7 linked regions of the Mus musculus genome follow. The protein of the gene in region 4 interacts with the protein of the main gene of each other region in a pairwise test. Links are inferred from orthologs where the notes say so. Each region holds a gene or a part of one and is shown on either strand. Other genes may lie near its edges. The genes, in order: Rnf125, Birc7, Mkrn3, Ube2k, Dtx3, Dtx3l and Rnf114.

Region 1 (3,500 bases), on a different chromosome or scaffold from region 4:
GTGGTAGGAAAATAGATAAATGAAGTAAGACTTCCAAGTTTCAAAAAGGATATTTAAAAGGTTGGTGGGGCTACAGACTACGTTCATAGCTAGCACAGGGAACTTAATGACTCTGAAAAATGAGGGCTGGGACTCTGGTTTGCTGGTACAACACTCATTCAGTGTGCGGGTTCAATCTCTAGTGCTGCATACACACAAATACTAAAGGCGTTGATGTGGTGGTAGGTGTATGCAATCCCGACTCTTCCAAAGCAGAGGCAGGAGACAGCAAGTTTATGTCCACCCTGGGCTACAGAATGAGAAACTGTCCCCAAAGCACTGGAGGAGCTAGAGAGATGGAGAGGGTGGAAAGAAAGGTTTCCCTGGAAACCTTTTCTTGTAACCATGAATATGGCTGTTGTTACTCACCAGAGTTCCACACTCAGCACAGTTCTGGTATTCTGACTTCATCCTCTTGGCTATGTCAGTTGCGGGCACTCCCTCTGAAGGAAGGTATGCCCGGCAGTATGGACATGTCCATTTATTATTGTTCTTTATACTGGTCGCAATGCAAGATCGGCAGAACCTACTCAAAAGAAACAGAGAATGCACGCATCAGGAGATAGGGCTCAGCACTTGAGTTCATACTGTTCTTGTTTGTTTGTTTGTTTGTTTGTTTTTCGAGACAGGGTTTCTCTGTATAGCCCTGGCTGTCCTGGAACTCAATTAGTAAACCAGGCTGGCCTCGAACTCAGAAATCTGCCTACCTCTGCCTCCCGAGTGCTGGGATTAAAGGTGTGCGCCACCACACCAGGCTAAAATCTTTTATGAATGAGACTAAGCATGCATGGGAGGGTGTCTAGAGAGATGGCTCAGTGGTCAAGAGCACTGATTGTTCTTACACAGGACACAGGTTCAATTCCCAGCACCTACATGGTAGCTCATAGCCACCTCTAACTCCATTTCCCAGGAATCTGATGCCTTCTTAGGACTTCCACAGGGACTGGGCAAGCAGATGGCAAACAGATCTCATACAATAAAAATAAGTATATTTATCTAGCTGGGCAGTGGTGGCCTTTAATCTGAGCACACGGGAGGGAGAGGCCGGTGGATATCTGTAAGTTCGAGGGCAGCCTGGTCTACAAAGTGAGGTCCAGGACAGCCAGGGCTACAAAGAGAAACCCTGTTTCAAAAAACCAAGAAAAAAAAAAAGGGAAAGAAAGGAAGAAGGAAGGAAGGAAATAAATCTGAAAAGAGAATCTCAGTTTTCCCACTAACATCTCTCCCGCCTGTAATGTAATCTACCTGGGATTACAAGAACACATCACTAAACCTGGCTTAAAGTATTTTCTTATTTTGTTTGTTTGCTTTTTAGAAAGGGTTTCATTGTGTACTCTTGGTTTGCCTAAAACACACTATATAGATGAGGATGGCTTCAATCTCACAGAATCTACCTGAATTTGCCTCCCAAATGCTAGAATCAAAAGTATGAGCCATCAAGTTCTGGTTTGAGTATGCATGGCCCACAGGAAGTAGCACCATTAGGAGGTGTGGCCTTGTTGGAGGAAGTGCGTCACTGTGGGGTGGGCTTTGAAGCTCCAATTAATGAAGAAGGGTCAGTCTTCTCATGTTTGCCTTTGGAACAAGGTGTAGAACTCTCAGCTTCTCCAGTGCCAAGTCTGCCTGGACCCTGCCATGCTTCTCGCCATAAAGACAATGGACTGAACTTCAGAACCAATAAGCCAGCCCTAATTAAATGCTAGCCTTTATAAGAATTGCCTTGGTCATGGTGTCTCTTTACAGCAATAGAAACCCTAAGACATGTAAAACCTTGAAAGTATATTCGTTTAAGAGTACTTTTTTACAAATGGCTCAAACGTTCAACTAAAAGAAAAAAATTAACATTCCAAATACAACATCAATGACTCCAACCTGAATTCTCTGCTTACATGTCTTATGTAGGGGTAGATGACGTCTCACTCTATAAGAAGCTGGACATGAGACTGCAGAAGTATGCAGTCTAGTAAAACCTGGTTTTGTTTGTTTGTTTTTCGAGACAGGGTTTCTCTGCGTATCCCTGGCTGTCCTGGAACTCACTCTGTAGACCAGGCTGGCCTCGAACTCAGAAATCTGCCTGCTTCTGCCTCCCAAGTGCTGGGATTAAAGGCATGTGCCACCATGCCCGGCTAACCAGGCAAGACCTGGGATTTTAAGCTGGGCATGGTGGCAGGACTATATAATCTTAGCCCTTGGGAGGTGGGAGAACAGAAATCAAGGTAATCCTCAGGTAAGTAGTTATAGTGAGTAGAGTTTAGCCTTAAAAAACAAACAAACACCAATGGGGAATAAGAAGTAGAAGAATGAGATTTAAAAAAAAAAGAGTAGATTCTTTGTCAAATTAGAGGGGAAAAATTAAATCAGCATAGTAATGAACCAGTCTAATCCCAGTACTTGGGATTTCAGTCCACCTGGGCTACATATGAAAGTTTTAGGATAGCCTGGGCTACAATACAACCCCTTTCCAAGAGTCAAACAGAAAAAACAATGGTAAGCATATAAGGGAACCTAGAGAAGAACACTCCGAATGGAAACAAAACCAAAAAAATACAACGTTCTAGGAACTGCTTGCTCTTGGCTGACATTCAGAAAGGCAGCCAGGAATCTTAGGGCATAGTCGGAGCTGTGCTGAGAGAGACGAGCAGGCAGAGGATCAGCCTTAACCCAAGAAAATCACACAAGCTCAGGGCCAGCCTGGCTCCTGATCCAGAGTACCACGAAAAAAGACATTATTTTTAGTTGAATGTTTGAACCACTTGCAATATGTACTCTTCAAGAATATACACTCTCAGCCCTTGAGATCTCTCTCAAACATAAACCAGGACCAAGGCTAAGTACCTTTAAGTTTATAATACATCTATTCAATAAACTTTGGTGCCTTAAGCTGGGTGTGGGAGCACAAAATTGTAACCCTAACACTTAGGAAGTTTAAGGAGGATCAGAAGCCCAAAATGAGCCTGAACAAGTTCAAGACTAGCTAGAGGCATATGAGATCTTGTCTCTAAAATCTAACATTAGGTTAGGAGTCTATTTCAGTTGTCCTGCACTGCATTCAGCCCTGGGCCTCAGCCCCACCACTGGATAAACTAGACAAGGTGGTACATACCAGTAATCTCAGAAGTCCAGAGATTGAAGGAGAAGGAGTTCTGGGTCAGCTTAGCTATGTTAGTGAGTTTGCTATATGAGACCCTGGCTCAAAAGGCCCTACACCAGCAAATGATTCCTGATGGTGTCAGAGACAAGATGGGCAAAATAAAATCCATGCCCCTTCTGAAAGTCAAAGGGCTACTGGCTGCATGTTCCCAAAGTTGATTCCAGAAGCAGATGGGGCTGACAGGGCTAGCCATAGGGACAGAAATTGACCACAAAGGACAGGAGGCGATTTGTCAGTGTATAGGAACTAACTGTCCTAGATCTGGGTTGTGGTGTTGTTACGGCTGTGAACAATTGCAGCAATTCATCAG
Region 2 (4,197 bases), on a different chromosome or scaffold from region 4:
AAAAACCATAAGGAGAAGAAGGAGGAGGAGGAGAAAGGAGAAAGGAGAAAGGAGAAAGGAGAAAGGAGAAAGGAGAAAGGAGAAGGAGAAGAGAAGAGAGAAGGAGAAGCAGCAGCTGCTGTTGTGGCTCGTACCCAGCAGAACCATAGCCTAGCACACACACAACTACATGCCCAGGTTTGGCTGGTGTCTTTAGCAGCCTTCTCATTAGGAGCAAGGGGATTCACTACCTTGAACACAACATGTGGGCACAGACCCCACCCTCTCTGCTGACTGGCAGGTGGAGACACTCAACAGTCTGACCTACGTGCAGGCTGCAAACACCAACTAAACAGCAAAGGCTATTAGGCTCTCTCACCTGAGGGAGTGGCAGAGACTGCATCTTCTGGTTCTTCTCGCTGATCCTGTTAGAGAGCCATTGGTGCCTTAAGTAAGCAAAGCAGAGACTGCCAGCCCACCTGGGTCCTGAGGACAGATGGACTTACCCAGGATCCCAGCAAAGGGGTGTAGGTCTGGATTCTTTCCACAAAGTCCCTTCCTTTTGACCGTAGCAGGAACTGACACCTGGAGAAGAGAGCTCAGAAGACAGGACTGGACTCTTAGAGCCCCACTGTCACATTCGAGCCCTGCAAGCCTTTGGGATTTGGCATGCCTTCTGTGCCCATGGAACCCATTACTTCCTGTGACAGGTAGTCAGGGCTGTATCCCCATGGGCACCTGCTAGTAAGGCTAGTCTGGAGTTGGGCTCCGAATACCTAGGTGTGCACCTGGAAAGGATAGCAGCAACAGGGGAGTGCCTACCCTAGCAGCCCTAGAGAGATCCTGATGTCTCAGAAACATGGGAGGTGGGAAGGCTATACAGAGTTCTTTGGGACCCTTCTCATTAGTCAGAACTGCAGTAGCCCACAGGGCCCTTACCTGGGAAACCATCGGGCATGCTCTGTCCAGGGGTCATCCCCACGCTCCCAGCTCTGTAGACCCCCATAGCAGAAGAAACATCTCACCTTGTCCTGCTGGCCTAGGTATGGCAGAGACACATAGCTGGTAGCCCCACCTAGTTGGCAACCCCAGGGTGTCCCTCCATGACCATCAAAGCTTAGACAGGCAGGACTAGAATCTGCCAGCAGGTTAACAAGAAGGGAGCAAGGCACATGGACACCTCTCTTGCCTCAAAGGCAAATAAAGACAATGGCCCTGGGGCATGTGTCAGGAGGGCTTCAGAATATTCCAGAAAGGTCGAGCTAGCATTTGTGTTGTTCTCAGAGCATGTGGGTAGGGTTGAGCCAAAGGCTTGGAGCATCTGTAGCCTGGGAGTGTCAGGGCCTCCAAGAAGGACTTCTAGTTACAGGATAAGGAGGTGACCCCTTCCATACCAGTTTATAGACAGACTTGGTTTTAGTGGCTCAGGCCTCAATCATCTCTGCTCTGTGCCCTTCCCCCCCCAGCCATAGGAATATGTGTCCTTCATGACCTTGAGCAGAAGTTCCAAACAGGATTGCTTACAGGCATATCCCACAGCAGGTACCCACGGTCCACAAAATACCCATGACATCTGTTGGCCTCAAAGAGACTCCTTTTCAAGGGGGCTCTAACTGTTCCAGACATTGACCCTTCATAACCAGTGTCAGATTGTCCTAAATCAGTATGGACTCTTGCCTGGCCGTTGCTAGGAGAATGACTGTTTCCTCCCCTGCTAGGCCCACTGGTGACAATTTCTCTGGCTATGCTCGGCTGGGCTCACTGATTCCTTTTCCCTCAGCCAGGAAGAGTCAGAGCCAGAACCTGAGCCCTACTGGGAATGAGAGCAGACCAAGCTCAAGGAGTAGTCTACATTTGTAACTAGAACAGGTATTCAAAGGATTTGTCTGGAGTTGGTCCCTGCACTAACCAGGTACTTAGGAAGCCTGAGAGATTACCTACAAGATGGGCACTGGATGCTTAAGCTGGCCCCTGCCCCAGTAGAATAGATTCCGGTTTTGTCGCTTTGGGCTAAGGGATGAAAGGGATTAATCAGCTCTATCTACCAAACCTGAAAGGCATTGATGACTGGGCATCCCTGAAGAAATCCTCAGAGCCGTGTAAGCCAGGTGAAACCACCAAGCCAGCAGACCCCTCAAGGGCCCTCAGAACAAGGCCAGCATAAGCCCAGAATTTCATAGTGGCTTTGAGTGGGTCTAGCCCTGACCAGGCAAGGATGACAGGAGTACCTTTTATTAGTTCCTCCCTCAGGGCAAGAATGGGCAAAACCGTTTGCCTGGAAGAGTGCTAAGTAGCATTCAGACCACAGTAAAAAAGACCCCAACATTTACCTGTGTGGAAGAACCCAGCAGCAGCCAATGGCTCAGGCTGAATCCCTGCAGTAGATGGCCAGTCGTAGAAGGAGGCTAGCCGGAGATCCTCTGAGTCCATCTCAGGGAAGGCAGGCTCCCCAAGGAAGGCAGCCCCAGAGGATTCTTCCTCTTCTGACAGAGGCCGAAGCTGGCCTAAGATCTGCCCATCTAGGCAGTCCTGGCCCAGGACATGGTTACACGGACAGTGGGGTTTATCCTGTTCCTGTGTGCGGCCACTGCCATCTTCCCTGTGGCTTAGTTCTGGGCCACGGACCGAGTCCCTGGCCCTACTCTCAGGCCCCATGGAAAAGACAGCAGCTCTGAATAAGTCTGCAGGTGAGAACATCACCAGCCCAGGAATGTGCCTGGTGTTGTACCGTTCCAGCTCCTGCCTCTAGTCCTTCCCAGAGGCTGTGGTGTTCCTGCTTCTAACTGCAAGCTGCTAGATGCTCAGAGGCAGTGGCGGTGTCCAGGAATGAGCCACTTTCTGAGAGAGGCCAGGGCAGCCACATGCTCTTTGCAGCGTGTCATGGGGCCTGCTGGCAGGCACATAACAAAGGCAGTACGCCACCAGGCAAAAAGCATCTCTCAATAGGGGGAGGGACCAAGCTTGGGACCCCTCCAATGGCATCCCCTAAGCCTCAGGAAACAGGTCATGAACATGGACAAAATAGAGGAGAGAGATTCCAGACACTTAGGGTCTAGTTCTGGGTGGAGATAGACCCAGACAGGGGCCTGCAGGGTAGGAAGCTAGGCTGTCCAGGACACTATGCAACCCCACCAATCCTTCCTTACCAAGCCTGTGCTGACTGATGTTCAGGGATGACCTCATCACCCGCTCATCTTGTCCCCAGCACTGAGGAGAGGTCCCTGCTTGGCTCAGCCCTGAGTCAGGGTCAGTCCACCCATCTGGTCTCAGGTTGCTCTTTATCTGTCTGGACAGTCTAGAGGCAAATCAAGGGTAGGGTGTGCCCTGGCCTTTGTCTGGAGGAGCTCAAGGTTTGGATGGTATTTGTTCCAGGCCAGACATTTCCATTTGCACTGTCACATGGAATGTTGCCTCCCTAAATGAGCTCTGCCCCAGAACCTGGTCTTCACTAACCAGCCCCAGGTGAGGGATTCGACTGACACACACACAAAAAAACAGGGAACAGAGAGGAGGATCATCACCCCAGAGAAGCCACAGCTATAGGTTGGTAAAACAAGAGTCCTTGGGACCCCTGGAAGAGGCAGAGAAGATCAAGGGGCCAGCTCTGCTGCAGCTCGCACTGTAATTCCCAGGCTTCTGCTCAAACCTTTACCCTTGAGTCGCTCTTCACTGATTGTGAAGCTTTTAATATTGGGAGCTTATATATATATATATATATAATATTTTTATTAATTCTTTGAAAATTTCAGACCTCTGAGTTTGAGTCCAGCCTCCCCAGAACTAGTTCCAGAACACCCAGGACATCCTGTCTCAAAAAAAAAAAAAAAAAAAAAAAAGCAATCCACTCCAACTTCATGTCCTTTTATTTATTTTTTTTTTAATGTATAACCCACTGAGTCTGGTTTGTGGTGTCCATATACTTATGGGTGTGGGGATGTCCACAGGAGCATGGGCAACCTACCAAGGGCCACAACCTTAAAGAAAACTGACCCTCCCTTTTCCAGAAGCTGCCAACTGTCAATAGTCCCTCAGTTAGAGGTTGAGTCTTGGGAGGCATGGTGAGGGGTTGGAGCTTGTGAGACATTGTAAGATAGGCATGGCTGTTCATGCATGCAGTCCTAGCACTCATGGGGATAAAGCAGGAAGATTTTTGTGAGTTCAAGACCAACCTGAGCTAGATAGTAAGTTCTGTGCTAGCCTGTGCTAGAGAGAGCCCCT
Region 3 (4,221 bases), on a different chromosome or scaffold from region 4:
ATTTTGAAAACCTTTTTTCAAAAGTTCTTTGCTTATAAATTATACAATAACCAGATTTTTAAGATATTAAAAACAAACAACTCTATGTTTAAGTTCAGGAATTGTCTCTGTCAAGAAAAATGAGATGGTAACTTCATGTGAGGCACTGTTTCATTATTATAACACCAGGAAGCTGTTAATGGTATTGTAGGAATTTTCGAAGTCATGTTTTGTAAATCCATTAAAAAAAGAGTCAGATCCACACTTAGCAGTCATTTTTATTAGATGCTAATCACTGACATCAGTGCAGGGGCAGATTATCCACACAATTCACATACAGCCCACACACTTGGACTTTAACACTGGGCTTTCAGTTCTGCATTTATTTCAATACTTCAAACATATATATTATGGTGTATATTTATTTCCAGTTTTTTTCAAATACATCTTTGTATACATATACGCATATATATCATTCTTAAATATATATTTCCAAATATAAATAATTTCACATCAAGCCAAACAGGATAAAAACATGTAAACATATGCACCTCATTTTGGTCAAGTAAAACAGAACCACAAAGTAACCACAAGTTAACAAGTGCACTTGAAAGAGAAGGGAAGAAACAAACATGTAAACAAACACAGACAGCAGCTGCAAGGTCCTGTAAGGGTCCATTTTTTTTAAGGCTATATAGCAAAAAGCTCATAATTCAGTTAAAGACTTTTGTCACCTTGTCACATTTACTCTTAAGGGACTTCACAATGAGAAACTGTAAACACTAGACTAGAAGTGATTGAATCCTGTTGGAAAAAAGACATCACAAGTCATCAGTTGACAGAAATATTAATTCCACCAAACAATACTTATAAGATTTCTTGTTATTTTGTAACACAGAGAAACATCACAATCCTAGCAAGAAGAAATAGGAAATAGAGAAGAAAACAGCAATACTGCATAAAGATTGCCTCAGTAGCCTTTGAAAGCGATAGGGTTTTTCAGTCAATAAAGGGGAATAAGCAACAGCAGACAACAGAGCTTTAGCAGACCAGACCACATGCCACAGCGTGATACTACAGATTCAAACTGAAATATTCTTCCAGCTGGTACTGAAGCAAGAGCCAACGGTCATCAGAGAAGGAAGAACTGCCTCTCAGGCAAAGCAACTTCTTAAGCAACTGATTGGCCAGGCGAAGCACAGAATGCTCTTTTTTACGGCTTTTAAACAGCACGTTTCCCTCTCGCAACTGCACAGGCTCCAAAACTTGATGCCAGTATGCGCTTGATGATCCACCACCATCTGGTCTTGGAGGCTGATCTCTCCAGCCCTCGGGGTATTCATGCTTGTAAAAACAGAATTCTCCAAATGGGCAGTGACCTAGGCCTCCAGCAAAATACCTGCACGCTTTCTGGCTCATCCCCTCCTTATACTGCTGAACAAGTTTCTCCTTCTCCTCTTCCTCCTCCACCCAAAACTCACTAGGAATGACAAAGCCAGAGGAGACCCTGCACTGTGGGCAGGACTTACTGATCCTGTTCTCAAACTGTGTGGCACTTCTCCACCTGCGGATACACCTAAGACAGTAGGTGTGGTTGCAGCTGAAAAGAATGCCAAAGCGGCGGTCGCTGGGGTCAGCTTTCTCATAGACCACCTCCATGCAGATGCCACACACTTTGTCCATGCTGCGCTGCACAGCAAAAGAGAGTTCCATATCTCTCTCGTGTGCTTCAACGCAGGCCCTTCTATGAGCTTCCTGCTGAGCTGCATCCCAAGGGTGCAAGGCCTGCTGCCCGCACATGTCGCATATTTCTCCATGGGGGTATGCACACCTGTCCCCACGGAGGCATTGTCCCCGGGCAGCATAGCGGCAAAGCGGCAGCGGCATTGGCACTGGCATTGGCACTGGCATTGGCATTGGCACTGGCATCGGCATCCCCATGCCCATAGCCATATGCTCTCTCTCAATTGCCGGGCTCTGCAGAGGAGCCTCGGGACCATGCGGGGGGACCATGCGACCTCGGTAAGGCTGTCCAGGAACAAATTCAATTGCCCCCTCCCAGCCTTCTGCACCCGCTCCCGCTGCAGCACCTGCTGCAAGGCTTGCATTGTCAATCTCGGCTTCAGAGAAGCCCCTTTCAGCAGCTGAGCGAATGCCTGCATTGTCAATCTCAGCTTCAGTGAAGCCCCTTTCAGCAGCCGAGCCAATCAGAGGCAAGGAGCTTGAGGATGCAGCAGGGGGGGCTTCCGCCACTTCCTGAGTCGGGGGCTCCCAGCGAGTGGCCATCTTGGGTCCTCTGTCTGCAGAGGCCCGAGGCTGAGCATCTTGCCCCCCCCTAGATCTCCGCCGCCCAGAAAGGTCGTGAGAGTAGCGACAGTTATCGCCCTCCTTGCACTGCCCATGCAGATAATACCTGCAGAGGATTTGCTTCGTCCAGCTGCCACTGTTGCGCTCCGGACCAGACCGGGCCCCGCCCCCTTCGGCTGGCGCTGGCCTCAAACTCGCCGCGCGCCGGATCGCTGGGCCTGGAGTCACCAGGAGCGGTGCCAGACCCGATGCCTGCTGCAGAGGGGCCGAGCTGACTCCCGCAGAAGCTCCAGCAGCCTCAAACTGAGGAGGGGGGGGAACAGACACACCCTCCCCCCCTTCAGCACCTGCCTCGGCGCCGGCGGCCGCGTGGGCCTCAATGGGAGCTGTAGACTCTTCCATCTTACAGCGTGCCTCTAACACTGTCCAAAAACCCGAATATTATATCTTTTTTGTGCTTGAATTGCGGAGCTGGAGATGGCTCGACCAGCTTCTTCTCGGAGCGAAGTGCATCGATTTTTGTCTTCCCACCTGCTCCCCGTTCCCTGGAAACTTTAGTTCCTACCTGTTTACAGGCAGGCGGACACTTCCGGTTGTAACACCATTCCTAGGGCTTCACCGGAAGTTGCTTCCGCCATGTTTTTCGCGTGCCTGTTTCTGCTTGAGACACTGGGATGGGCTTCTGCCGGCTTTCTAAGTGCGACTCTGAACCCCCCAATCCCCGTTTCCACAGTGTTTCCCCTCAAGGTTGATGTTTTAAACTCTCCAGGTTTCAGTTGTATACATTGCAGTTTATTTGTGTGTGTGTGTTAAGAAAACGCTACACACATTGCCTTTACCGTCTGCTGCTTGAACATAAAACATTTCACTCACATTAAAAATTATTTTTCAGTTTCTTCTGTCGTTTGTTTATAGGCTACTAATTTTTAAGATCGGACAGTGTCCCTGCCAAAGCGTTTCTCCTTCAATGCTTGTAGATCTGACAGGATTCTTTGGGTCTTTTTTTCCCTTGAAGGGTTAATTTGCGTGCACTTTAATTAGGAGGGAATCCCCTGCCCCGAGGCTACTCAGAGCCTTTCACTTTCCTGCCTTTGTTACATTCTCCCGGACCCCCAACAATGTAGAAGCCTGGACTTTGCCCAACCCTGATGAAGACTTAATAAGGCAAGGTCTGAGAATGACCCAGGCTTTAACTTTTCTCTGTTGGTTGGATTCGGAGACCCTTTGTTCCCTGCCTTCCTTTTCATCCCATTCTGCTCTACAGAGCTTTTCATAATACCAGCTCCTCTTTGCACCCCAAAGTGTCTCATTTCCATTTCTGCACTGAGCCAGTTCTTTTTCTTTTTCTTTTCATTTTGCAGATATATACTATTGGGCTAATAATTTTATATGTAGTTCTACACTGCTACATGTACTTACTACAGTGGCATACTAAATTTTATAGTATAGTTTTACGTGGGTTTTTATTTTTAGTAATAATCATGCTTTCTTCCTTTCCTCACCCACTAACTTGAATTAGCAATGCTTCAAATATTTTATTTACTATTTAAAAAAATGAAATTATGCTCAGAAAAATAATTTTATTGGAAGGAGTCTCACAACCTAAGGTTAAAAAACTCTGAAAGCATATGATATAATCATCCAACTCAAAATATAAGTCTCAACTAAATAAATCCAACAACGATAAAACAAGATAAGAGGAACATAATCAAACAATATAGATAAGGGGGGATGAAGTCAAAGTAAACATGAAATAAGAACAATAGAATAGGCAAAATTTTTCTTGTGTAACTTATGAAGGAAAATAATAAAAGGCTCAGATCTCCAGCATCACATACTTCAAAAGAACTGACATTAAGTAATAAGAAACCTCAAAACAATGAGATGTTTTTAGTGCCACTAATTTATAAAAGACCTAAGTAAGAACTAGCAGAT
Region 4 (3,500 bases):
GACTTTCAATATACATACAACCTTACTTTAATTTAGTCTGATTCCATTACATTTCTGTAATCTATGCATTGGTCCTCAAAATTTTTAATTGTATCTCCTATGTAACAACTGCCTAAGTTCACTTGAACATTAATTAGGATGGTTAAAGGAAGTATTTGAGTTTGTAAAACTTATAATTGTCAAGCTTTGGAAGATAGAATGAGATGCGACAGTTGCTAAGGACAGGAAGTTTATGTACAAGAGAAGGTAAAGTTTCAATTCTCACATTATCAGAAACATCATAAAGAAAGCTAGATTTAGAATACACCCCTGTTCCTATGTGCATCTGGTATATACAGTGAGACAGCACAGCTTTCATGGGTCACCATGGGGAGCAGGAGGAGTAAGTCAAGTGTCTGACAAAGGAAACTGTCAGGCTGAGCACTAGGGAACAGGTACTGCACCCTTCAAGTTTCCAAAGACTTTATCATTTTAAAAATTAATGTCAAATTCACTGAAAAACTAAGCAGTGTCCTTTTATTAAATCTAGAAATACTGCAACATCAAGTATTTATTCCTTTTGTGAGAGAAATAAAATTGGCAGCCCCTTTTTACATTACTACTTACAAAGTGAAGAACTCGGACAAAACATTCCAAACCTATGAGCTAAAAGTGGAACAAGGGACACTGTTCCTCAGCACGTTTCCCACAAGACACAAAATAAATTGACCATGAGAATCTCCGCTCTGGATGGTGACAGGGACTAAAAAGCTCTGATTAGGTCACCACCTTTAAATCAGGATAAATCTCATAATTCAAGAATGTCCTAATGCTTAAAAGGGTGGTCTTTTCGGCTACCCGTTCTAAGAAGTCAAGTACAAGCATGCAAGTAAATTCACAGGCACAGAGGATCTGTGTTCAGACTTAAGGGAGCTGTGATTCTACACCACAATGTGAAGGGCCGACACTCGAGTGTTATCCTAGTTAGTCAACAGAACCCTGAAGCAAACTCTCGAGTCTGTTACACTGCTAAACACTAAAGTAGCATGTTTTCCCATGGTTTTAGCTTAGCTCAAAGAATTTTTACACTATTAAGAAAAAAAATTAAAAGTATTTCCCCTTTTTAAATTTACACAGACGTTTAATTAGCTTTATTTACAGAGCAGGGAATTTTTTTTTTTGCAGTCTCCAATGGTGCCTAGGTAACATCATTAGGCAAGAATGCCAGTTTAAAAGAACTTTATGCAGAATCCTAAAAATAACAGGTGTTGATGCTCCTCAAGAGGCGAGAGCGATGCTGGCGCAGCTCCTGTGCCTCAGTTACTCAGAAGCAGTTCTGTTGCAGTCTCTACATCCCATGATTTTGAAGACAAGGCCACTATTACTGCGTTCTGTAAAGAGGAGGACAAGAGCAATCACATCCCACGGAAACCAAATCCTCCTCGCCAGAGTCACACGTTCTTCCCTCTACCAATGACTGCACAGTCACCACTGATTGCAGCGTCTATACAGGATTAACCAAAACTACATTTTCAAAATGGCTAGTCCCCTTCTCCCAAGGACTGGGAGCCCGGGTTTAAAATGGGGAGTGAAATCAATTCCTCTGGATGGTGACAGGGACAGAAAGCTCTGATTAGGTCACCACCTTTAAATGGGGATAAATCTCGTAACTCGAGAGTGTCCTAATGCTTAGCAGGGTGGTCTTTTCGGTACTTACCCTATCAAAACCCATAGCACAGAGGTTTTCTATTTTTTTGGTGTATTCTGGACTAGAAACTGGTGCTCCAGCGTACACGTGTGCCCAAAGTCGAGCTGTCTGCTTGAACATTTCAGGATTCTGTTTGTACTATATGGAGGGAAAAGCAGATAACAAGACAGTACAGTGAGATTTACCATAGCTGCTCAACTATGACTTGCTTGTTCCAAAGAAAAGACATTTATATTTAGAATGTAACTCATTTGGGCTGGCCTGCAGAGATCACTAGTAGTACGTATTAGCTTAGTAACAAGCTCAAGTTCAGAAATTCAATTACCAGCACTCCATGTGCCAAAACATAAAAGATGATTTTTTTTCCATTGCAGAAATGTCATTCAAGAAATGAAGCTTTGTGAAAATAAAAAACAGAGTTAATACTCTTTAAACAAACATCTAATATTAAATAAACATTATAAAAATGTTCTAATAACTGTACAGAAAATTACACAACAAAATCAGTAGCATGTAATGTTACATGAACATTAGCTGATAAATTTAACACTGACTGATATATACAATCAATTGTGCTACTAGGCAGACCTCAAGCTGAGGCAGCAGATGCCCTTAGAGCTATGCAGCACTGTATAGTCATCAAAGTAAACCCAACACTCAAAACAATCTAACTTACATTACTTTTGAAGACAACTTAAAAACCTACAAAAGAGCCCTACTAGATAAAGATTTGCCATATGAAACCGGAAAAGGGTGAGGTAAATTCATTGTAAAAATACTTGTAAGACAGAGTATAAAGTAATGATGTCAATTCATTTCAATATTTATCAAAGTGCTACTTTTAAACTTATGTATGCTTGTGTATATGCACACATGTGGAAGTGCTCAGGAAAGGCAAGCAGAGGACAGTGGGAAGCTGCCCAGTGAGGGTGCTAGGACCTAATCTCTGTTCTCAGAATGATAACAAAGAACTACCCCTCACCTGAGCCACCCAGCTCTCTAGCCCCAGAGCAGGGACTGGGTAATTCATTGTTCCTCTCCCTTCGACATCGCTTTCTCTCAAAAAAGTTCTCAATATGTAGCCCTGGCTAGCCTAGAACCAGCTATCTTTATCTTGTTCATTGTTCAGGCTTGGCTCAAATGTAAAGCTCCACTAACATCTACCTATGGAGTACCAAACTAAAAGGCTACTCCATATTACTATGATTACCTAATATATTTCAAGCAATACTTTGTGAACGAACAACACAAACATTATTTTAGGTGTTAAAAATCAGCTATGGAAGCCAAGAGATGGCTTGGCAACCAGAGGACAGCTGCTACTCCAGGACCAGGGTTCAATTGCCAGCATCCACATGATCCTGTACCTCCAGGATCTGACACCCTCACAGAGACATACATCGAAGCAATGTACATAAAATAAATAATTTTTTTTCAAAAGTCACCCTTTATTTTATGTCTCAATTTATCTCAATTTGTGGGAAAATCAAAGATAAACTTCAAGAAAGACTTCTGCTACCAAATATTAATAGCACATATGTGCAAACTATTAAAAGCTGTAGTTCTAAGCAATGGTGGGCTGTAGAGATGGCTCAGTGGTTAGGAGCACTGACTGCTTTTCTAGAGGTGCTGAGTTCAATTCTCAGCAACCACATGGTGGCTCACAACCATCTGCAATGTGATCTGACGCCCTCTTCTCCAGTGTCTGAAGTCAACTACAGTGTACTCATATACTTTAAATAAATAAATAAATATTATGAAAAAGAAAGAACATTTTAAAAAATTATTTTTATTTGATGTACATTCATGTTTT
Region 5 (4,127 bases), on a different chromosome or scaffold from region 4:
GGGAGTGGAGGGGGCAGGGGAGGAGGAGGAGGGGGTAGCCCTCTTGCCCCTGGGGGCAGGAGTGGGGCTGCTCGGAGGGGAGGAGGGCCTGGGCGGTGCAGCTCGGGGTGTTCCCCTCCACCCCCCAAAGCCAGGCAGCCCATGAGCTCCCCCTGCCTCTGGGCTTTCTTTAGCTCTTTCTCTGCCTCTTTCAGTAGCCCCTTGAGAGCCTTCCTGGCCAGGTAGAGCCCATTGGGAGGGGCTGGGGGAGGACCCTGTGGGGACAGCTGGAGCACGTAGATGTCAGAAGTCTCGCCATCTATGAGGATGGACACCCGATGCTCCTCCCGAAGCCGGGCCAGCCGGGCTGGGGTCTCCTTGCTCAGGAAGTCCCACACAGGCTTGGAGACAGTCACTTTGTTCTTGCAGGAGCCTCCACAGGCTGCCATTCTGGACAGGACGAACGACACTGCCCCCAGGGTGAAAGGGACTCAGAGTGGGGAGTCCCCATTTGACAGATAAATGTGCCTCTTACTTCAGGCTCCTTCTGAACCCCCTGTGTTACCTCTGTTTCCCTCAAAGCCAACCCCCAACACTGCCCACAAACCGGTTGGTTTTCTATCTCCACTTCTGTCCCATAGCCCAGCACCCTCTGGGCACAGGTTTCCATATTTCATCGTTATCTAAGCCAAGCACCAGCCCTGCTTGCTTCTTTCATTTCTCCCCTGAGCACAACAACCTGCCCCTTCTCCCCAAGATGGAAAAAAAAAAAGGTTCCTCCAAGGGAAGGAGGCTCCCCACCCCTACCCCACCCCATCCCACCTCCGTTTGCTTTGCTCACTTTGATCCGGAGGAGCTTAGAATTGGCATGCAGGCTCACTCTCCTTTCCCCCTGATACCTGGAGATCCTGTGGCCTGGTGGAATGGGAAAGAAAAGAAAGTAAGGGGGCTGGAGAGATAGCTCGGTGGTTAAGAGCACTGACTACACTTCTAGAGGTCCTGAGTTCAAATCCCAGCAACTACATGGTGGCTCACAACCATCTGTAATGGGATCTGATGCCCTCTTCTGGTGTGTCTGAAGACAACAAAAGTGTACTTATAATAAATAAATAAATAAATAGATAGATAGATAGATAGATAGATAAATAAATCTTTAAAAAAAAAAAAAGCTGGGCAGTGGTGGCGCTTGCCTTTAATCCCAGCATTGGGAGGCAGAGGCAGGCGGATTTCTGAGTTTGAGGCCAGCCTGGTCTACCAAGTGAGTTCCAGGACAGCCAGGGCTACACAGAGAAACCCTGTCTCAAAAAAAAAAAAAAAAAAGAAAAGAAAAGAAAAGAAAAAAAACAGGAGGAGGAGGAGGAGGAGGAGGAGGAGGAGGAAGGAAAACTATTCCCCAACCCCAAAGCCCCAACTCAGGAGCCCTTGAAATGGCCAGGAACCTGGGGTAGGGGTACTGGAAATGGGGATTTCTTGGAATACAGGAGGAACCCGAAAGCTGAGGTTCTCCTGGGGCACGGGTACCTGAAAAGACCACAGAGACGAAGGTAGCAGAAGTCCCTCCACCTCCACCTTCAGCTGGCCAGAGCTGGAGACGAGGAAGGTAAAGAGTTATGATAGCATTTCCTCAGCCAGCCCAGACAGAAAACGCTCTTCTAGTTCCTCTCCTCCCCTGCAGAATCCTCTCCAAGTTGCTCAAGGAACTTCATCAGGCTAATTCCTCTTTTCCCCCCAGTGCAGAGGGAGATCCTAGATGCAGATAAAGACAGGAAGGAGAAAAAAAAAAAGGGCCTCACAGGATGAAGGTCGTACACGCCACCTCCCTCAGATTACACTGACAGAAATATCTCCTAAACTCCTCGCTTTACGTTCTCGAATAGTTCAAGTCCCTGTTGTTGACAGAGACCTTTCCTTGAGAGCCGGAAGTCTGTTAGGGATGCCAGCAAAGTGTTAGCAGTCCCGCAATAACAAAGTTCTCATTGTCACCTTTAAACCCAGTGCCCGCAGAGCTGCTGTCAGCTGCAAATCAAGCAGGAGCTTGGCTAGAGGGACCCGAGGTTTTCCCCTGAGCCCTGTCACAGCCCAGCTCCAGGGCCTTTCCCACAACACAAAGTGCAGCTCAATTAGGAAGAGGGGCCATTCATGTGACCTCAATTCCTTGTGATCCAAAAAGAAGCCTCTGTCCGTTTGTGCCTCCATCATAGGGTCCTTGAGATGAAAACCTAAGCATCTCAACCCGCATGGTCTGTGCACGGTGAAATGCCCCCTCCCCACCAGAGAGAACCCAGGATCTAGGTGTCCTAGCTCCAAGTCCTGCTGGCACGGCACAGGGAGGCGGGGCCACAGTTTAGTCTGGGTCTAGCATTCCTCTGGGGCAAACCAGGCCGGACACCAGACCAGCCTCTTCCTCCAGACAGCGGCCGCTGGCAGGGACGGCGAGAAAGGGCAAGGGTCCCCTGGGGAGGTGTCCACTGAGGCACCCCCCACCCTTCTCCCCGAGACTGCCCCCGGATCCATCCAACCCGAAACCAACTCCCGCATCCCTACTCGAGGAAGCCCCGGAGTCCCGCCGCTTGGTGAGGGTGTGTGTCCACCCGACTGCGGCCCTCAGAACCCCCAAATGGAGGCCAGGGCTGAAGGTGCGGGAAAGATGATGGGCCCGGGCCCCGAGGGCGCCCTCTTCTCCCGCGGCGCGCGCGTGGGGGTCCAATGGCGGAGGAGGGGGCGGAGGGAAGCGGGGGGCTTGTGAGGGTGCGGACCCGGCCTGGGGGGGCACGCGGTGGGTGTGGGGGCGCCGGGCTCACCTACCTCTCGTCAGCGCCGCCATTGCCGGTCACATGACTGAGGCTGTTGCTGGGATGACGGTCCGGGCCTTAGCAACAAGGGGCGGGGGGGTGGGGGGGAGACCCTGAGAAGGTGGAAGGGGATGCCGGGGTGCAGACCGAGAGAAAGGAAGGGAGAGCACCCCTCCCCTTGGTGGGTGATAATCACCGTTTCCTTTGACCCCCTCCTACCCGGGAGCCCCTGCCTCTGCCCCAAAACAAAAATGGAGGCGCAGTTCCAGTCTTTGGAGGGAGGGGTGGCGTCATGTAGCCGAGGGTAGGAGGTTAAATCCCTTAGAAACGCCACTCTCTTGGCTTCCCCCTCCCGGAGGAGACCTCTCCCCACTTCTTTCCCAGCCAACTGCGTTGCACTCTTAGGAACTGGTAGGGGTGGGAGCAGTGTCGGTGGGTATATAGATTGAAGGGGAGGGAAATTTTTTTGAAGTCTTACGCTGGAATATGTTGGATGGGAAGTTTAAAAAAAAAAAAGGAAAACATTGGTACTACAAAATAAACCCTGTGACTAAACTACTTCAATCCCCTCCCTCAACTCTTGCCTCCTTCCAGACTGTTACCTCCGGTGACCCCCCCCACCCCCAACCCTCGCAGCCTGTTACCAGAAGTGGGCTGGTGACTAGTTTTCCACAAGTAAGGACACTGGTCTGTGCAGAACGTGAGGTGGATAGATCCTTTAAAAATGGCTCAGGGTGGTGTTAGTGTCAAGTACATGGCTCAAATAGAGTTAAAAATTCCCAAAGAAAAAAAGCTCTGCTCCGCTCTGCTTCCCGTCAGAGCTGTCTCCGCCTCCTCCAGCTCACTTCCCTGGGGCTACATCAAGCCAGGTTTTTCCACCAGCCAAGAGACCTCCTCAGCCAAGAGAAGAGGTACTGACTCTCCCAGACTAGCACCAACCACGTCATCCACCCCTCTCCATCCCCTCCCCCCTGAACTGGAGGACTGGTCACTCCTTCACTTTCCCAGGACCCTGCTGGACTCTTCCTGGCCTCTAAGCAGATAGCTTTCCCAGGAAGTCTGCGTGAACAGAGAATTCCTTCCCACAGAGCTGGTACCCCAAGAGGCCCACTAAAGTTAACAGATGGAGGAGCAAGAGCATAATGAAGACAGACACACCATCCCACTCCCACTCTGGCCGCCACAAGGTTGGCGACTATTTTCCCGCTCCCATGTCCACCCCACAACTCCAAGTCCACAGTCATCTTAGAACACCCCCCCCCCACACACACACACACATACTCAGGAGCCCAACACCTTGAAGACCAATATTTTTCAGTTGGACTCTGTAACTCTTAAACATAGGATGGGTTACTC
Region 6 (3,999 bases), on a different chromosome or scaffold from region 4:
CAGGCTGGCTGAGATCTTGCTAATCCACCTGTACCAACTAAGCTTCATTCCTCCCTGTACAGTCCGGGGTGCACAAGGCTGCCCGAAAACACCGAGGGGAAGGGAGGAGCAGATGCCAGGGCAGCATCAGCTCCTCTGTCAACACTCACCTTTTGGACAACTGAGTCAACAGAGTTAGAAACGAGCCCGTCCTGGGGATGTATGTCATCACAAAGTGCTTCATCCAGAGACCCCGTCAAGGACGGAGGTCTGGAGCTTGGTGTCTCCACTGGCTGTGTCAAGGATGGGAGTCTGGGTCTCAGGTCCTCTACTGGCTTTTTAGTAGTTTCCAGGACAATGGTCACAGGTTTGTTATGGACCAACATCTCGTGTTCGCTCTTTTTCAACACTTTCTCCTTATCTTCAGGGGAGACATTAAACATACACATTCACACAGAAATAAGAGAGAATTTACATAGCTGATCCTCAGTATCCCTGTAGGTTGATTCTAGAAACGTCTGAGCATGCTACCTCCAGAGATGTCCCTAATAAGCTTAGGACTTTCACATAAGCTACCCATGTTCTCACATATGCTTTTTAGTTGTTCATTTTTTTGTTTTGTTTTATTTTTTGTTTTTGAGACCTTAGGTAGTCCTGGCTGTCCTGAAACTCCTGGTGTAGACCAGGGTGGCCTTGAACTCACAGAGATCTGCCTGCCCCTGCCTCCAGAGTGCTACAATTAAAGGCATGTGCCACTACTATAAATGCATTGGTTCGCCTTCCATAGACTTTATTTGAATAAACCATAGGGTATGGGACTGTTGTGTAAATTTTCTCAAGACTGAAACATTCCACCCTGCAAAGAAGTTCCTTAAGCAAGAAGGTAAACAACTCAAAATAGCTTCAGGAAATCCCAGAAACTGACCAGACTCATAGGCCCCTCCCTGAATGAATAAACAATAGAGACTGTTGGGAAGAGTCCTCCTGAGACTCCCAGAACAGAGCTGCTGTGAGGACTCATTAAAGGTCTGCATAGGAGACTCTTAGACAAAACAAGCTGTGAAGAAAACTTAAACCACCAGAGAAGCTGCCTGCAGGAAGTGAACTCTAAGCTCCACTTAGGAGGAAGTTTAGACCAACTGAGCCACCTGGAAAGAACACTCCCTAACCTATTGAGCTGCCTGTAGGTGTGCAGTGAGCTCCAGGTTCCCAGCTTTGTGAGCTGTCACCCATGCTAGGTGGGCTTTGGTGATGCAGTTGCCTTTGAGTCGTTTCCCATATTCCTGTAAGTAAATCCAATAACCAATACCAATGCAATAAGTAATGCATTGGTTCACCAAGTTGGCCCTTGGTGGTATCTGTTGTAGGCTCCTGGTCAAATGCATACAGAGGACCTGAACAGTTATTTCTGGCATTCTGGAATAGCAGGCTGGTGATAGGAGAAGCTAATCAGAACTCTAAAGAAGGGAGCTTAAGTTTTAGCATAGGAATATAATTTGGTTATTAGAAATCACATTTCTAGTCTGGGCATGCTGGTACACACTCACAATCTAGCACTTAAATGGTAGTGGTAGGGGTAGGGGTATTATGAGTTCAAGGCCAACCAATGGCACATGGCAAGATCCTGTCTCAAAGGGGTGGTGGTGGGGAAACCTATGTTTTGTAATGGTTTTGAATCTCTCATTTCAATGACATTGAATAATGGTTATTGTATAGTTAAATGGTGAAACCCCCGGCCCCCCAAAAGAAACAAGATCAAAAAGTTTAGAATGTATATTCATTTGCTGACTCTCAGAAAAGAATGCATGAAAATGCCCCCATTGAGGACATTAGTGTGGCACCACCTGCCTTTAATCCCAGTAGAGGAAGGAGGATCTCTGCGAGTTTGAGGTCAGCCTATGGAGCTAGTTCCAGGACAGACAAGGATACAAGGAATAACCCTGTCTCTAAAATCAACCAAACACACACACACACACACACACACACACACACACACACACACACACACCAAAAACCAAAACCAAAACCAAACCAAACCCCACCAAACTATCTTCAGATAATTTTTCTTTGACTTTCCTCTTTAAAGTCATATATTACTTTTGTAGTCCTTAAAAATAAGTCAACGGAATCTTTATTTACAACATTAAAATGGCTTGGAGTCGAGATCGGTGGTGGAGCACTTGCCTAGCGTGCACAAGGTTCTGGATTTCCTCCTCAATCCCAACCCCCACACTTTGTTTCTTCTCTCAACTGGGTCTGCTGGGAAATTCTCAGATGGAGTCGAACCGCGACCTCATCAGCGGCTGGACTCATACGAGGCTCTCTCCGCCACTGTGGGATGGAGGGAGTCTGTGGACCGCACTCTCCCACAGACAGAGAGCCACACTCGCGTGGGCTCTCGTCGGAAGCATGCAGGGATCGGTTTGGAAACCTGCTGGTTCTACCCTTGCACCCGAGCCTTGCCCTGTTTCCCCTGCCCCGGCTCACCTGCTTTTTTTAGGAACTTCACCTCGTAGGTGTCCGGGGCGCTGGGGCCCACGGGCTGGACAGAGCACTCCCCACCTCCCGAGGCCCGGCTCTGGAAGTATATCTCGAGCTTCCTGTGCGCCTTGGGGATGGACTCCCGCAGCCGTACGAGTAGCGGGGACGGCGGGTCGGGACTGGAAGCCATGGCTATCCGCGTCTGGCTCGTTTGGGGCTCAGGGGCGCTGCACAGACAGGGAAGAGCAAAGGCGAGCCCTGCCCTAAAGACCCGAGAGGCAAAGTTTCAGTTTCGATTCCCCAGAAGGTCCCTCCTTGTTCTCCGCAGAGCCGCCGCCTGTCTTGCTCTGCCATCTCTCAGAGCCATCACCCGGTGAGTAGTTCGCACGCTCGGCGGTGGGCGCTCAGAGGAAGTTTCCCTACGGTGGCAGGTCGCCCTTCTATTCTTGCAGGATCGGAAGTTTGGCGGGAACCCGGATCCCAGGTTCAGGCCTCTCAAGGGTGGAGCGGAATAGAGGGGTAAAGAGTTTCACCTGTTTGTACTTTTTGAAATGATTGTTGTAACTAGTATTTACTGAGATGCGGTTCTGATTTCAAGTGGAGAGAGTTTACCTGCTTGGTGACCTGTACTTTTCCTGTTAGCTGGGCACCTTAGGGATTTTCTGCTCGAGGGCCTTAAGTTAGCGAATAGCACAGATCGGCTTGCTTCCCTGAGTCCCTAGAGAGGGAGGTAACGAGGAACTGAGCACAGAAGCAGTCAGTACCTGTGAACAAAGCAAAAGCCAAAGAGCAGGTTTCAAGAGGTATCTTAAGGGGTTGGGGGAGGGGAGGAAAGTATTCTAGGCTGGGACAGCAGTAGCCTAAAGTCCAGAGGGCTGGGTTCCAGGCCAGGGAGAGGAAGAGGAAGGGTCTGTAAGATCTATAGCGTCAACAGAAATAAAGTGGGGATTATGTGTGTTAATTCTAAAGGTTAACACCATAGTTTAGCTCATAGGTGATGGTTAATCTTGGTTGTCATTTTGACTGCGTCTGGAATCAGCTAAAACCCCAGCTAGCTGGGTAGTGCTTGTGAGCGATTTTCTTGATTGGGTCTTTTGAGACTGGAAGACCCGCCCTAAATCTGGGTCACGCGTCCTGGTAGCAGCCTATATAAAAGGACAAGGAAAAAGGAAGTTTTGCTTTTGGCCTGCTTGCCTCAAGACAGACAAGTGCACCCCAAAGCAACCTCTCAGCTGCAGCCTCCAAGGAACCTTAGAGGTCTTTCTTGTGTGAAAGCAATACTGCCCTCTGCAGGCTCCCCGGATCCTGTCCGGCCAGTTTGGGGTTAGTATTCGAGTGACTCCTGGATGGGCATGGCCAGCTGTGCTCTCGTGTTGTACAGTGTTTTTCTACTGCAAAGACATTACAGATCATCCCAGAGACTATTGTAAGTGTTAGTCATGAGTCTAACATTTCATAATTTTAGTTTTTAGGCTACTAGGTTAAAATCATGAGAAAGTGCGATTTCCCAGAGCTTCAGATTTTTATCCAGACATCCTT
Region 7 (4,189 bases), on a different chromosome or scaffold from region 4:
ATTCAAGAAACTCAAACACCATGATCTAGAGGCAGAGGGGGCACCTGCTGGCTCACAGCACAAGAAGGCTACTAAGGCACAGGACACTAAACTACCAAACTACTTTGACTTATGGTTACATTAACAAAATCTGCTGGAAAAGACCAGGAGATATGTGTGTGCCTCTGTGTGTGTGTGTGTGTATCAGAACTGACCCCCCCCCCACTATCTTTTAAGAAATCTTGATCGTTTCTATTAGGCAAAAATTCTAGTCCTGGCTGGGAGGTGACTAGTTATTTACTAGGAAATGCCCTATCCTTATAACTCTTTTTTTTTTTTTTTGTCCTGTTTGTTGGTTCTGGCTCTCCTAGAACTCACTCTTAAAGACCAGGCTGGTCTTAACTTAGAGATCTGCCTTCCTCTGCCTCCTAAGTGTTGGGATTAAGGGTATACCACCCAGAGTGATGCTGTATTTGAAGAAAACAGTGGTTTCATACGGTGATGAAGGATAACAAACAGCCTGGCAGGTGGAGCATAGGGAGTTCCTCTGAGATGACACTGAATGGAAGGCCACAGAGGAAGGAGTGTGCCAAGTATAGAAAGGAAGGCCTTTGGGGCAGTGATGTGGCAGATCACACAGAGAAAGGGCAAGGCAGGGTGGGCAGGCCCTTTATAGTAGCCCATCATCCCAAGAGCAACTCAAGACAACTGAGGAATCCAAGCCAACATACAGATTAAAGCAGTTGATTTAACAGTCTATCAGATGCTCACAGCCTGCGTGCCTGAGTTATACCCTTACAAGGAGGTTGCATCTAGCTTCCTGTGTCTGGAGCTGACTTTCAGTTTCTACTTCCTAGAAATGGGAGTCAACTAGTTCAGCCTTTCTGTCAGTGCTCTTTAGCATCAAGTTATCTGCGCTCCTCCAGACCTGAAAGGGTGTAGCCACAGGGCTTGACCTGAATTTCATAAAATCAAATGCTCCAACCACAGCTGTAGGACTCTCCAGCTTCAAAGGCAAACATTAAAAATCAAGTTGGCAGAGCCCAAAGCACTTGGAGGAGGCTCAGAGAAGTCAGCTACCCTCACCAAGGTGTGTCTGACTTCAAACAATCTGCTGAGTACGGAGGCTGGTTATGTTTGCTATGCTGGTACTGCTTCTTGCCCTATGATGTAGGAAAAGGTCAAGGAAGCCTCAAAGCCTGGTGCTTTTCAATCAAGTCATGTTTCTTCACAAATGTTAACAGCCCTCACGTGCTCTCCTACCGAATACACCATAGTTTGAACAGTCATTAGTATTTCCTTTAAAAAAATATGAATGTGTGTGCCGTTGAGGACAGCTGGAAATCTGGGGACAGTTTGTGGGAGTCAATTCTTTTACCATGTGGCTCCTCAGGAGCGAACTGAAGTCATCAGGTTTGGTGACAAGAGCCTTCAGCTTCTGAGCTATCTCACTGGCCACTACTTACCAAACAACCTCCTGAGCTGTAAACCCGAGGGCCAAATTGCCTTCTTTTGGTTTTTGTTTGTTTGTTTTTCGAGACAGGCTTTCTCTGTATAGCCCTGGCTGTCCTGGAACTCACTTTGTAGATCAGGCTGGCCTCGAACTCAGAAATCCTCCTGCCTCTGCCTCCCGACCGAGTGCTGGGATTAAAGGCCTGCAACACCACGCCCGGTTCCAAATTGCCTTCTTAACTCTATCCCAAAACAGCAAACAGAGGGCATGCAGACACTCCAGTTAACTGACTGGGAGGGAGTCTGGGTTCGGCTCACGGTGCCGAACACCGGCTTTTATCATCGGACAGAGAGGACATGGTACTCTCTTCTTGGGTCCCTACATGTTGCTCCGTGTAATGAGAAAGCTAGCAGAGTCGAGAGAGAAGTGAGGGAGGTCATCAGGACGGGAGGCCTGAAGTAGTGGCGGCGGGCGATCGGTAACGGCTACCTGTACCTGAACCCAAGCTGGCAGGAGCCCAGTGTCCCTGCAGGCATCCCTCCCACAGTGCTGGGAAGGCCCCGCCTCGCTCCTGGGGACGGTCTGGCAGGCGACGCTGGCCCGAATGAGCGACCCTTGACACTTGCACTTTGATTCACCCGGAAAAAGGCTGGCACTCACAGGACAGCGGCGGGAATGCCTGTGCGCCCAAAAAAGGGTGCTGGAGTTGGGGGGGGTCAGGAAGCCCGATTCCTGGGTGAGCGGCAGTGGGCGGGGCCGCGGAGGGACGTGGTCGAGCATCCTCAGGCTCTTCGGCTACGGTGTGTTTGAAATGTGCAAGAATGGGATTCAAATCCCGCTAAGCGGTCACAGGAGCCAGGGAAAGCCCAGGCCGCCCTCGCTCAACTCCTGAAGCGGCTGCGGCAGCCTGGCCCGCGACACCGGGCTTCACTCACGCCGAGGGAGGCGGCCTCCGCGAGCGAGCACCCCACACCCGGTCCGCGGGTACGGCCGAGCGTCCCGGCACTTCCCTCTTGTTCCAGCCTAGCCCGGGGCCCACTGTCCATACTTAGCCCGGCGGCCTCCCGCGCACTTCGGAGGCGCCGGCGGCGGCCCGGTGAGTCGCGACGCCGAGGCTCGAGGGGGCCCGCTGTGCTCCCTCGTCAGACGCCGCCGGCCGCCCGCCGCCTGCGCACCGCGACCCCTACCCGGCAGGCGCCCGCCACTCACACGTGTCCGCAGGGCACCTGCACCGGCTTCTCGAATACTTCCAGGCACACGGGACACGTAAAGCGGCTGAGGGGGTCCGTCTCGGACGCCGGCTTCGCCGACTGCGCGGCTCCATCTCGGGACTCCGGCTGCGCCGCCGCCATCTTGCCGCTGAGGAGCGTCGCGCTGAGAGAGAAAGAGCCGCCGAGGGGGGCTGGGGGCGGGGCCGCCGTCGTTTGCGCACGCGCTAGGGGCTGAGATGGGCGGAGTCCACAACGCCCCCTCGCCCCCTGGAGCTTTTGAAAGCTGCCGCCCACCAGGTGTGTAGATGGCGTCCCGGGGAGAGCCTAGAGGACGCAGCCACACTGAGCCCACACCTCTCACCCACAGGAACTCAGACCGTGAATGTGTATTGTTATTACAGTTGACCTTAGCTAGCTCACCAACTTGCCCAGTTGAGCTTTGAACTTTCCATCCTCCTGCCTCAGCCTACCAAGTAATTGGCTGTATAGTCTGCACCACCAGGTGTGGCCAGATGATTTGATCTGATTTCTCAGCGTCTTTCCTAACCGGAAAGGAGGAGGCAGGACTTCCTGCCTGCACAGCTAACGGGGTACAAGTGTATCTCACAAACTCCCGTGGCTTGTTAGGTCGATACCACCTCCGTGAACCTTTCCAGTTTTCTAGACATATTTATTGCCCTTTTCCTATGGCTTGTACGTGGCCTGGAAAAATAAAATAGGACAGAGGCTTGGACTGAAGGAGGTATAGTATAACAGGAAGTCACTGGACTGTGCGCGATCAGCCAGTACCTTGAAGACCAAGAGTTCCAGCAGGTGTTGGGTACTGGCAGTGATTGAGTCCAAGATCAACAAGGAGTTGATTATCTGGAAAGCACTGCGTCCAGGGCTGGGGTGTGGCCACCAAGGAAGAGGTCTCCTCTAGCATGGCACACGGGCTCCTGGGTTCCATCCCTAGCAGTGTATATGTCATATTTGGTAGTCCACACTCAGAATCCCCAGCACTTGAGAAATAAAGGCAGGAGGATCAGAAGTTCAGAACTATCTCGGGCAATATAGTGAGTTTGAGGCTAGCCTGGGATACGGGGTGGTATACTCACCTGTAGAAGTCAAAATGTTTTGAGCTTTGAGGTCAGCCTGGATTGCAAAAGAGACCCTTTCTCAAAAACCAAAGCAACAAACAAAATAGGTGCTTCTAAAAAGGTGCACTTCAGGGGCTGGAGTGATGGCTCGGCAGTCAGGAGCACTGGCTGCTCTCACAGAGGTCCTGAGTTCAATTCCCAGCAACTACATGGTGGCTCACAACCGTCTGCAATGGGATTCGATGCCCTCTTCTGGTGTGGCTGAAAACAGGCACTTTGTGTGTGTGTGTGTGTGTGTGTTGGGGGATTCGAGACAGGGTTTCTCTGGGTTCCTGGCTGTCCTGGAACTCACACTATAGACCAGGTTGGCCTTGAACTCAGAAATCCACCTGCCTCTGCCTCCCGAGTGCTGGGATTAAAGGCATGTGCCACCTCCACCCGGCAAGGTACTCCTTTATTAAGTAAAT

What was found.
Region 1: the proteins of Ube2k (region 4) and Rnf125 interact in a two-hybrid assay, tested with the Homo sapiens proteins (2 studies listed by BioGRID and IntAct). The link is inferred for Mus musculus from reciprocal best matches to the Homo sapiens genes UBE2K and RNF125.
Region 2: the proteins of Ube2k (region 4) and Birc7 interact in binary tests that used the Homo sapiens proteins (3 or more experiments, as listed by UniProt). The link is inferred for Mus musculus from reciprocal best matches to the Homo sapiens genes UBE2K and BIRC7.
Region 3: the proteins of Ube2k (region 4) and Mkrn3 interact in binary tests that used the Homo sapiens proteins (3 or more experiments, as listed by UniProt). The link is inferred for Mus musculus from reciprocal best matches to the Homo sapiens genes UBE2K and MKRN3.
Region 5: the proteins of Ube2k (region 4) and Dtx3 interact in binary tests that used the Homo sapiens proteins (3 or more experiments, as listed by UniProt). The link is inferred for Mus musculus from reciprocal best matches to the Homo sapiens genes UBE2K and DTX3.
Region 6: the proteins of Ube2k (region 4) and Dtx3l interact in binary tests that used the Homo sapiens proteins (3 or more experiments, as listed by UniProt). The link is inferred for Mus musculus from reciprocal best matches to the Homo sapiens genes UBE2K and DTX3L.
Region 7: the proteins of Ube2k (region 4) and Rnf114 interact in binary tests that used the Homo sapiens proteins (3 or more experiments, as listed by UniProt). The link is inferred for Mus musculus from reciprocal best matches to the Homo sapiens genes UBE2K and RNF114.

What each region holds. Positions count from the first base shown.
Region 1 is NC_000084.6:20,971,364-20,974,863, reverse strand, and holds part of Rnf125 (E3 ubiquitin-protein ligase RNF125), read right to left. Parts: intron 566-3,500; coding exon 409-565; intron 1-408. UniProt on the Homo sapiens protein: E3 ubiquitin-protein ligase that mediates ubiquitination and subsequent proteasomal degradation of target proteins, such as RIGI, MAVS/IPS1, IFIH1/MDA5, JAK1 and p53/TP53.
Region 2 is NC_000068.7:180,927,626-180,931,822, reverse strand, and holds the start of Birc7 (baculoviral IAP repeat-containing protein 7 precursor), read right to left. Parts: upstream 2,801-4,197; 5' UTR 2,677-2,800; coding exon 2,310-2,676; intron 1,019-2,309; coding exon 919-1,018; intron 565-918; coding exon 486-564; intron 405-485; coding exon 359-404; intron 1-358.
Region 3 is NC_000073.6:62,417,354-62,421,574, forward strand, and holds Mkrn3 (probable E3 ubiquitin-protein ligase makorin-3), read right to left. Parts: upstream 2,801-4,221; 5' UTR 2,689-2,800; coding exon 1,054-2,688; 3' UTR 240-1,053; downstream 1-239. UniProt on the Homo sapiens protein: E3 ubiquitin ligase catalyzing the covalent attachment of ubiquitin moieties onto substrate proteins.
Region 4 is NC_000071.6:65,592,745-65,596,244, reverse strand, and holds part of Ube2k (ubiquitin-conjugating enzyme E2 K), read right to left. Parts: intron 1,826-3,500; coding exon 1,697-1,825; intron 1,371-1,696; coding exon 1,296-1,370; 3' UTR 1-1,295. UniProt on the Homo sapiens protein: Accepts ubiquitin from the E1 complex and catalyzes its covalent attachment to other proteins. In vitro, in the presence or in the absence of BRCA1-BARD1 E3 ubiquitin-protein ligase complex, catalyzes the synthesis of 'Lys-48'-linked polyubiquitin chains.
Region 5 is NC_000076.6:127,192,910-127,197,036, forward strand, and holds the start of Dtx3 (probable E3 ubiquitin-protein ligase DTX3), read right to left. Parts: upstream 2,801-4,127; 5' UTR 2,785-2,800; intron 2,659-2,784; exon of another isoform or gene 1,963-2,658; intron 1,899-1,962; exon of another isoform or gene 1,773-1,898; intron 1,726-1,772; 5' UTR 1,501-1,725; intron 895-1,500; 5' UTR 850-894; coding exon of another isoform or gene 822-849; coding exon 821-821; intron 449-820; coding exon 1-448. UniProt on the Homo sapiens protein: Regulator of Notch signaling, a signaling pathway involved in cell-cell communications that regulates a broad spectrum of cell-fate determinations.
Region 6 is NC_000082.6:35,936,228-35,940,226, forward strand, and holds the start of Dtx3l (E3 ubiquitin-protein ligase DTX3L), read right to left. Parts: upstream 2,801-3,999; 5' UTR 2,651-2,800; coding exon 2,467-2,650; exon of another isoform or gene 2,243-2,466; intron 401-2,242; coding exon 150-400; intron 1-149.
Region 7 is NC_000068.7:167,502,054-167,506,242, reverse strand, and holds the start of Rnf114 (E3 ubiquitin-protein ligase RNF114), read right to left. Parts: upstream 2,801-4,189; 5' UTR 2,785-2,800; coding exon 2,642-2,784; intron 1-2,641. UniProt on the Homo sapiens protein: E3 ubiquitin-protein ligase that promotes the ubiquitination of various substrates. In turn, participates in the regulation of many biological processes including cell cycle, apoptosis, osteoclastogenesis as well as innate or adaptive immunity.